2 linked regions of the Arabidopsis thaliana genome follow. The protein of the gene in region 1 interacts with the protein of each later gene in a biochemical or structural test. Each region holds a gene or a part of one and is shown on either strand. Other genes may lie near its edges.

The links. The genes of interacting proteins can lie anywhere in the genome.
Region 2: the proteins of ATG8B (region 1) and NBR1 form a complex in vitro, tested with the Arabidopsis thaliana proteins (one study listed by BioGRID).

The regions. Positions count from the first base shown.
Region 1 is NC_003075.7:2,327,891-2,332,435, forward strand, and holds ATG8B (Ubiquitin-like superfamily protein), read right to left. Parts: upstream 2,701-4,545; 5' UTR 2,170-2,700; exon of another isoform or gene 2,054-2,169; 5' UTR 2,037-2,053; coding exon 2,000-2,036; intron 1,568-1,999; coding exon 1,512-1,567; intron 1,433-1,511; coding exon 1,380-1,432; intron 1,094-1,379; coding exon 975-1,093; intron 877-974; coding exon 773-876; 3' UTR 552-772; downstream 1-551. Other genes in the region: AT4G04614 (uncharacterized protein), read right to left, coding at 1-24; AT4G04630 (senescence regulator (Protein of unknown function, DUF584)), read right to left, coding at 4,273-4,545. UniProt on the Arabidopsis thaliana protein: Ubiquitin-like modifier involved in autophagosomes formation. May mediate the delivery of the autophagosomes to the vacuole via the microtubule cytoskeleton.
Region 2 is NC_003075.7:12,739,334-12,745,209, reverse strand, and holds NBR1 (ubiquitin-associated (UBA)/TS-N domain-containing protein / octicosapeptide/Phox/Bemp1 (PB1) domain-containing protein), read right to left. Parts: upstream 4,179-5,876; 5' UTR 4,020-4,178; coding exon 3,987-4,019; intron 3,629-3,986; coding exon 2,739-3,628; intron 2,650-2,738; coding exon 2,526-2,649; intron 2,423-2,525; coding exon 2,165-2,422; intron 1,988-2,164; coding exon 1,838-1,987; intron 1,746-1,837; coding exon 1,188-1,745; intron 1,110-1,187; coding exon 1,008-1,109; 3' UTR 540-1,007; downstream 1-539. Other genes in the region: AT4G24700 (uncharacterized protein), read left to right, coding at 1-403; MOS1 (modifier of snc1), read right to left, coding at 5,473-5,876. UniProt on the Arabidopsis thaliana protein: Autophagic substrate degraded in the vacuole by non-selective autophagy. Requires ATG8 protein expression to be recognized as an autophagic substrate. Acts probably as a receptor for autophagosomal degradation of ubiquitinated proteins.

The DNA.
Region 1 (4,545 bases):
CCATCGCATCAAACCTTTCTTCATGATAACAACTCTAACACAGAATTGAATTCTCCATTAGTCCAATTTTACAATCCAAAAAGCTCAAAACTTTAAGAGAGAAAGTATTCAACTTTCCTGATTTCTCTTCAACGATTTACTAAAATCATTTCCCAATAAGACAAACTCGTCCAGCAATTCGAAAACAAATCAAGTACGAATCTTTGTAATCGAATTGAGAAACCCTAAATTGAATTGAAGGTTCACGAAGATACCACAAATCTAATTAGAGTATAACAAAAGCTTCGTACCTTGCCGGTGTAGTTGACGAAGGTAGGAGAACGATTCGCGGCGGAGACAGCAACAGTCGCAAGATCAGAAGCTATACTCGGTCCATGTCCGTAGAACCAAGAGAATAATATAAGTCTCGAATTTTCCAATTCAATTTTTGGTTTGTGCTTGGTTTGGTTTGGTTTTTTTCGGTTAATTCAATTTTAGGATTTTTCTTCGGTTTAGACAATTTAGCTAATTAGTAAATTGATCAGACGAACTTATCAACGTTGATGATGATATTACTATAGAGGTTATTTTATTCAATGGCAATAGAGAAGATGCAGAGGAAACAAAACAAAGAAACTAGAGAGTCAAATTAGAATCTTGTTTCAAATACCATCTTCAAATGCAAGAGATAGTAAGAGAGCTCAAAAGGTTAAACCAAGAAAGTAAAATGACATTATTAAGGTCGACGAGAATGTACAATCATCAAGAGGATCAGACGTAGAAGCTGAGGTAATTAGCAGTAGAAAGATCCACCAAATGTGTTCTCTCCACTGTATGTCATGTAGAGAAACCCGTCTTCGTCTTTGTGTTCTTCGTAGATTGCAGACATCAATGCCGCTGTTTGTAAGAACCAGAAAAGAGAGAAACCATATTTATACATGAACCATAGAAGTAGAAGATTCACACAAGGTTTAAAAAGTGTTAAAATCCTTTACCAGTTGGTGGTAATGTGTTCTTGACAAAGACAAAGATGGCTTTTTCAGCTCCAAGCTTGATTCTTTTCCTCACAACGTACACAAATTGGCCAATGGTTAGATCAGCTGGTACAAGATACCTAAAGAGAAGAAACAGGTGTCAGCAAAAAACATCAAAACCAGCAAAAAATAATGCTATGCAATTCAATCTCTGTATCTAGAAACTGCTAAACTGTACCAAGGGACAAGTTTTGAAGAATGAGAACTATAGTTAGACTCAAAATTTCATCAGCTAGTGATTAAAAGGATTACCGGATCATATCACATTTCCATTAGACTCAAAGGAGATTGAAAGCTAATTTGTGATTTGATACCATTATGATCCAACAAGAGAGATAGAGATAATATGTAAAACAAATTACTCACTTCTTCTTGTCAATGTCAGGAACATCACTCTGTCCAGCTTTTTCCACAATCACCTGTATTGAGTTCTCTAATTAGAAACTTAGGGTGACACTGTAAATCTTGTTCCGTAAAGTGAGAGTTTAGAAAACATACGGGAACTCTTTCAGGGTATTTCGCTCTGATACGAGTAGACTCAGCCATTCTCATCTCTGAAACCAAAACAAAACCATAAAAAATCAGTCACAACTAACGGATTATACAAACACATGAACACATCTTAGTGACATGTAATTCAAGTAACTTCCAGGAAAATTCCAGAGGCACAAGTACTAAATCTTTATAGATTCAACAACAAACTAGGTCTAATAACTTAATCGTGTTAATGTAAATCAATGGAGAATACAAACAGAGTAACCAATATCAGAGATCGAGAATCAGAACCAACAAACTCGTGATCAGGCTAATCAAAACTTGAGTTCCTTTAACAAAGATCATAATCGTAACACAATCCAAAGCCCAAAAGATCGAAGAAAACCAAAGAAGTAAACAACTATCCTTTAAACGCTTATCGAGTGACATCAATCAAGCAAAAACCCTACAGAAATTGCAAAAAGTAAAAAAGAAGAAACAAGGAAACTAACCCAGAGGATTAGAAAGCTTGAAGGAGTTCTTCTCCATGATGATTCGGTTAGTATCTACGATGATTAAGAGAAACAAAACTCGAAACTTTATCTGTTAGGCTAAATCGGGAAAAAAACCCAAACCACAAAAACTCGAAATTGACAAAGTGGAGAGGCGAAATCAAACGTACCCAAAAGACGAAACTAGGGTTCGATGATGATCAGAGGAAAAAAAAATGAATTTTGATTGTAGAAGAAGAAGAGGATCAAAAAAATGAAAAAAGGAGAGAATATATATAAAGGAAACAGAGAGGATGGATTTAGGGTTTAGTGATTGTTACCTGCACGGCACCCAAACTTATTACTTGGATTTTAATTAGTTACGATGCTTATCTTACGTCAGCGAGATGATACGACGTCGTTGGATTGTAGTGGTCATGAGTTTGTGAACTATTTATTGGGCCTTTATAGGTTTGGATCTCGTTTGGGCTTTTCTGTCATTTACATGATCAGGACTACTAGGCGTGGACAAATAAACCAACTCGAATATACCGAATCAAAATCAAAGCAAAACTAATTAAATCAAAGCAAACCAAAAATTGGAAAATATTCGAATGGATACTAAATTCTATAAATGAAAGAACCGAAAGAACCAAAACTAAATGGATACTAAATATTATTTATTTTTAGACTACATAATTAAAAATAATTGAAAAGATATATAAAATAGTAAAAATACTCGAAAAAATAACCGAAAATATTCAAAAATGATCGAAAATATCCAAAATAACCGAAATATCCAAAAATATTCAAAGCAAAATAATAGAATGGATATTAAATTTTAAAACTGAAAAAACCGATACGAATCAAACTTTCAAAATAACCAAATGAATACTAAACTTTAGAACCGAAAAAGTTGAAACCGAATAGATACAAACTGAAACCGAATGGATAACCGAACTATTAGGACTAAGGACTACAATTAACAATTTTAGTTTGTTCCGATTGATACCAAATTACCAATCATAAAGACATAAAAAGGGTAAGAAAGCAGCAGAACTGAAAACTATTTCTAACCACTATTTTTATTTATGTCAAAAGTAAGACTGGTAAAAAACAAGGTTAGAGGTTTTAGGTATATAAAAAAAACAATAAACAATACCAAAATAGTTACAACTTTTTTTTGTTAAAAAAAATAGTTACAACTTTTTTTTAAAAATCTCGTTTTTCAACGTTTTCGTCACTAGTAATAATTAGAAGTTTAGAACGGTAAAATACTGCAACCATACGAGATTACCAATCAAAATCTAACTATTTGGTTCGCCTACTGTTTTTTTTTTACCGTGTTGTTTTACTACTAATCATACCAATATAAAAATCTTTGCTTCTACTATCAATCCTTTTTCTATATTTAAAAGCATTATTGAAGTCTAATGTGATGTTTTCTCGTTACATTATTTTCTTCTCGATATCCCATAGTTTTAAAGTTTATTACATTTAATCACCTTTTTTTTGGTCTCGTTCACTCACCGCTATTAAATATCTTATAACTATAATCAAACAAAAAAACATTCAAAACTATTCATAAAAGAGTTCAAAGGAAAATCATGGATTCAATCCTTTATATGTACACCTTCGATATGTGAATATATGACATTGATCGATTGATATGGTTGAAAATGTCTTCAGAATTGGAAACTCAGCATTTTAGGGCTTATTTATTTTTGCATGAAATCGGCTAAATTAATGATATTTAGTAGCAGATTTGCCAAATACATAATTAGCCAAAGATGGACATAGCTAATATTAACAAAGAAAGAAAGATATCTAATTTATATATAACATTGTCGATAGCAAACGACAAAATCTTTCACCAAAACATGGTAAAGAACTCAACTCCAATTAAAGGTTCTAAAGGAGATGCCCCTCTCTAGGCTCTAATTTAAGATCATAAAAAAACCTTCAAAGAGAAACCAAAAACAACAGAAGAACATAAAACGGGACCCATGCATGGGGCTGACAAGTCATCATCATCACTATGATACTTATCTACTCTAAATAACACATTGAAAAATAATAACAACAATAAAGAAAAAAAAAACTTAACAAAAAGACTCTTGGTATAGTGATCCCCACATGATGATGACGACAATGACATTGATAATGATGATGATGTGGATACCATAAAGTTGAGTTTTTCATGATGATAATGTTAAACAAGAGTTATGGGATTCATATTCCATGCACATGGATGATAATTATGGTGATGATGATGATGAGATATTTTATCCTACTTACTCCAAGAAACCAGTTTTTGACAAGACAGCATTTCTCACTTTGCTTAGATCTCTTCCTTTAAGTGTTCTTCCAACTCCTTCACACATAGAGAAAGAAGAGATCTGTGTTCTTGCTAGCTTTCTTGCAACCCATTCATGTGGAGGAACCATGCAACCATCATCATCTTCATCATCATCGTCAGCAGCATGAGAATGCAAATGGCTACTCCTTCTGTTGCTCTTTGAGTCACCATAAACCTTGGACCAATCAGGGACATTCATAGGTGCTGA
Region 2 (5,876 bases), about 10 Mb from region 1:
AAATGAAGAAGAAGAAGAGGAGAAGAAGAAGAGACTAGAGTTGATGAAGGCAGCTGCGCAGGCTTGGCTCAGCCACTCCCAAACCTCAAAACATACTGTTTTAGAGTTCGATGCGCAGAGAAAGCATGCTTTTGTCAAAGGGAAGGCATCACGTTTCAAAACGGAAGCCTTGTCCGCAAAGCATCATCCGTCGTTTTTGGATTGGGAATTCGGACAGTCGCTGTGGGATCCCTACGAGATTCTTTCGGTCTCTAAGAAACTGGAACGCGAACTCACTTTAGAAGAACAAACCTTCTCTTCTTCAGATAATGATGGCCTCAAGAAGATGAAGAAGAAGAAAACTAGAGACAGCAGAAACAGCCTTAGGAGTTTGTTCACTCGTTCGTCTTCAAAGAGATTCTAACAAACTCATCATGTTACTACTTCAAACTTGTAAATTTTTCTCAAAAAGTGAAATCAATTATGAATGTCTTTTATTGGTCTATTCAAAAACTTTTATTGGTTTTTGAATGGTTTCTATGGATAGAATAACAAAGTTTTGTCAGTTGTAAACAGTTTAATGAAGCCGACCACCATGACTAATTGCAACTGCCATGCCGATGATTCGACCACGTGAAAATGTCACCTGATTGAGAGAGATGAGAGGGTAAATGTGAATTAAAACAGTACGTTGTTTCAAGGAAAGCTCTTCTCACAAACTCACATTAAGCCAAATACAGCTGAGAAATGGAGACCAAAAAGGCCTAAAGTGATGAAATCAATAAAAAAGACTCAACCATTCATTTGACCCGAGGAGCAGAACGACATAAACTAAACTGAAATAAGAAAGAAACCATCCATGTCTTAGATAGAGTTAACATAGTAACATCATCCCAACACAAAGCAAAGGAACAGACCATGTGACGCAGCACGAAACCAAACTAAGAGATCAGGTTTTATTTATAAAACATAATTATTCCTGATAGATAAGAGAGATAGAGAAGAGTTGCCAGAAACCAAAGAGCTCATCAAGCCTCCTTCTCCCCTGTGAGGAGATCCATTACCACGCCTTTGATGCTTCCATTGTTCTTCTTCAGCAGTCTCTTGTTCGTCACATCATCACAGAAGCCCTGCAAAATCACAATATTTTCAACATTCCAATCTGCAAAGTAAGATTTAATAAATTCACCAAGTGCAGACACACTTACCATCTCCTGAAGCTCCTCTAGGATTGGATCCCACTCGCTAACTCCACAAAGAGCATCAACAGACTGCTCCAGGTTGTACTCGTTATCCCTCAAGATCTCCTTGTTCAAATCTATCTCCTTGAAACCCATTTCCTCGAGCTCCTTGAGCATGGTTATCTCCACGTCATTCTTTTCTATATCCTCCTGAAGAGGAACTGGCACGTCTTTTGTAGTAGATGAAGAACCACCAGACAAGACCTCAACAGCAGGCATGCTTGGGAAGTCGACCATGTTAAATGAAGAAGATGAAGATGAAGGAGAATGACCGTGAGGGATAGCAGGATGAGCTTCACCAACCAAAAGGTTTTCTTTTTCCACGGCCTGTGTTTCACCAACTTCGCCCTCTAGATCAGTACCTTTCACGGTCCCAGGATTGACACTGGAGCTGCCAGGTTGAGCTGACTCATAATTCATAATCCCTAGAAATTCGCTTGGAAAATTCTCATCAAGGGAGGGGGAGGCATTAAGGTTCAGTCCATGAAACTCATTCACAACAGAATTCTTCAGAGATGCATCAACCTAACCATGCAAAAAGAAAAAATGTATCAAACACATATGATAGAAAGAGACAAAGAATTAAAGGACAGAAGCTGCACAAATCTAGTAAGTACATGTATCAACACCCAAACACGTTGCCCAAACTTAGCACCGTCAGAGGTAGCCATCCTCCAATAAGAAATGTATCGACCAGGTAACTCTGGTGCAACAAAATCAACTTTGACGTCAAGTTCACTATAGATAGGCACACCCTCCTTTGGAATCTGCCATGTGTAAAGAGAGAAAAAAACAGTTAGTATTATATAATCAAGCAGCTATAGTCACTTCGTGAAGAAAACAACCTAACTCAAGCCATCGAGTGTAAATTCAAACAACATAATTGCTCTGTTAGTGGTAAGAATCGAGCTAAAAGAGTGAAAACTAAGGAAATTGTTTCTAACCTGTAAATCAACTGACAAGGAGTTGCAGAACCTGTCCCCACCGATCCAGACAATCTGTGTGCCCTGTGGCCACACCAGCGAACCACTGTTCCTCATTTTCCAAATCTTAGTAAATGGGGCGGATGGAGCAACAACGGTTCCATCAATTACATTCACATCAAGGACAAACCGACTGTCTAGTTTAGGGCGAGTACACCTGAGAGGTGCACCTCCATTGGTTGCTCGTGGCACAGGGTGGCTCAACCAAGGATTAGGAAACTATACCAAAAAAAAAAGGGTAAGAATTCCTCATAGCTATCAGAGAAGACACATAGAATAAACAAGAAGAAAAGTAATTATAAACTTAGAAGAAGAGCAATACTTGGGTAAACGGTCCTCTAAAAGGATGCAGATGTTGAACGGATACAGGCTTATCCATTCTTGTGTAATCCCCCTCGTTACCCATCACCGAATAGCAGATGGTGCACAGATCATAGTCTTCTTTACTGCACAATATTCACAAGCGAAACATATAAGCACAATAAGTTCTAGCATGTTTATAGTTTCTAAAGTAGTAAGTAGAAGGCATCCTTACACTTTCGACTTAAATCTAGGCCCAGTAATTGGAAGAACTCCACATCCGTCACAACGGATGCCCTTATGGAATACACCCAATGAAGTCCAGTAATCACCATTGGTGCTCTTTTTGGAATGACAAACACGACGAGGATGCTTGTTGAGGTTAACTGGATTTGGACAGGAGTAATTCATGGTACTGCCACTAAAGGGACACTCGTTGAAATTAGCACCCAGTCCAGACGAGTTTGGTACATGACCAGAAGTCTTTGAATGAGCGCCAGTGGGTTCATTCAGATTAACAGGTTTCCTTCCGGTCTGGGTCCTCTCAGAGATATCCTTCTTTCCACCAGCGGAAGGAACATCCCTGCTCAGGGAAGCACCTGAAGAACCAGGCTTGGTAACAGGTGAGCAAGGACTACTTTCCTGAGGAATTGAGAGCTGCCCTAGCTTGGAAATGCAATCAAGCATCTCACCAACTACAGGACTAGAAGTTGAGGCCTTGGATGCAAGGTCCATGTACACCTTTGATATGGTATCACGCATCGGGTTAGGTACAGCCATCAGAACATCATTTATACCCTTCTGGATTTTGGAAACCGGGTTAGGCATACCCGCAGGTGTGGAACTCCCACTACTCTCTGGAGCAGCAGAGTTAGTGGACACGCCAGCGTTCACATTGATCTTTAAGAACTTAAGACGCTGATTAGTAACATCAAAGAGATCGTTGTCATCAACAAGGGCAACCACATCCCCATCCTCATCAGAGTAAGTCAGACTCAATTCAGCATCCGCAGAGAGGTTAAAGAGAGCAGCGATCTTTTCCTTAAGACCAGCCATTTCAAGATCAAGCTGTCCATTAGCTTTAACAGGCACCCTGAAACGCCTAAGCACACCTCCATAGCTCACCTACATAATCACAAACAAAATTAGTATCACTTCAATGAAAAAAATGAAAAAAAATTGTCGAAGAAATAGATTACGATTCTAATTACGATAACTTATAGTTTTAATCATTGTTCGGGTATAAGATTCAAGCAGATACTGCTAAGTATGTCTGGAAAATTTTCGAATTACACTTAAGATTATAATACAGAGACAGAGAGAGAGAGAGTCGATCCATAGCGAAATTCAAAAGGAAAGGACCGATTACAAGCAACAAAATCAACAGAAACGAGACGATCGCCACGAAAACCCAGAATCACCGACAATTACTGTGAGAAAACTGACGATTCGCAAATAAAGAAAGGAAGGTTGTATCTCTAACCTTGACGACGAGTGCGTTAGCAGTAGACTCCATCGGTAACGGAGATCAGATCAGCTGGAGAGAATTAAAAGGCAAGCGAGAAGAAACCCTAATTGAAGAAAAAGAGTATCTAGCGAGAAAAAGAGAGAATCGGGGAGAGATTTATCTTAGAAGAAGCGTACCCGTAATCCGCTTTTCTCGTAAACAACCAAGAATTTAGACGGTCGCGTTTTATACTATATATCATTACACAGAATATTTATTAAAATAATTAATTTAATGGGCCCTTTTGTTTATTTAATTAATTTCTGACTTAGCCAACAAGATTTTGACTTTTTTGGTTACTACTGGCTTATCCAGAAAGACAAATCAAACTAACATCCCTAAGTTAAAGCCAAAAATATCAAGAGATACGAGTACATATAACTAGATATTTTATTTTTCATACTAACATTTTGAAAATTGACCAATTCGAGTTCTTATAAAATACTACATCTTTTATGTTTTCTCCAATAAAATGATCAGATACTATTTTATTTTATTAAAACTTCAACTCTTATGCCGACCACAAAAAATAAAAAAACATTTTAAACTCTAATTTATGAAGTTTGAGAAACAAACACCACCAATTCCAAAATCCAAACTCTTAAAACTCTTATGTTTGCTACCTAACCTCATATAAATTTAGTAAATTTAATTAGATATTTTCTTATTATTACGTTTTGTGAATATAATTTATCATATGAACTTTTTCTGTACATTTTGGTGCGTTCTAATAACTTAGTAACATTGATATACAATTTTATAATATAATAGTCATTTGAGACATTCGACATTCGACATACAAAAAAAAAAATATGAGATTCTATATGGCTATATGCAAGTGAAAAGAATTAAAGTGTGACTTGAATTACTAGCATATCATGATGTGATTGTGTAGTTGATGACAAGAGAATATATGGAATAAATAATTGTTTGTACAATTAATTTAGACAAGTTTCAAAACGCATACATTGTATCAATATATCATATATTGTTTTTATATGTGATCATGACAATAAAATATTAGAATAATAGATATAAATATATATATTATACTAGAATTGATATTTCGAGTTATAGATAAATCTAATCATAAAATAAAAAAATTATATTAAATAGATAGGAATTTATCAAAATGAACATCAAAATCAACCAAAAAACATAATCATATTTTTTTAAGCAACTTTAAAAACAAAAATACTCATGAGTATTCATCTAGTGTATACAAAAGGCTACTACAGTAGTTATAATCATATTCAAACAAGTGACTGAAACATATAATAATAAACTCTCAAGACAAAGACTTTTTTTTTTTAATCTGCCAATACCTCCTCGGATAGGTCTCCTCTCAGCAATCTCCCAAGCTATGTGCCTACGAATTAGCTTCCTCAATCGCCATATCTCAAAATGCAAGTATCCTCAGCATGGCAGCTCTTACTACCTAAATAACAATAAGAGGCCAATCTTAGTTTCTATCACCAGTGAATCCATGACCACCGTTTCTCCCACTAGTACCCCTTTGCTGTTGGTATCCACCCTGCCTTTGCTGCCCCTGTCCCTTCTCTCTGTATCTTGGACCTTCTGTCTGAGAACTCTCTTTCGATTGTTCTCGACTACGTTCTCCATCATAAGTATGAGACCCAACAGGTTTGTATTCATAATGCAGATTTTGCTTCTGTCTATCTCTGTTTGAAGGTGGCCTCTGATGGTGATGGTGCATATTCTCTTGCGCCGGTAAACCCCAACCTCCTTGTGACTCCTGCCCTCTTCCAAACCGTCGACCCTGCCCTGTGTTCTTTTGGAACATACTATTCGGATTTTGCTCAACCTGGACCTCCTTATTGGTAGATCGGTTTTGCAACTGGGCTT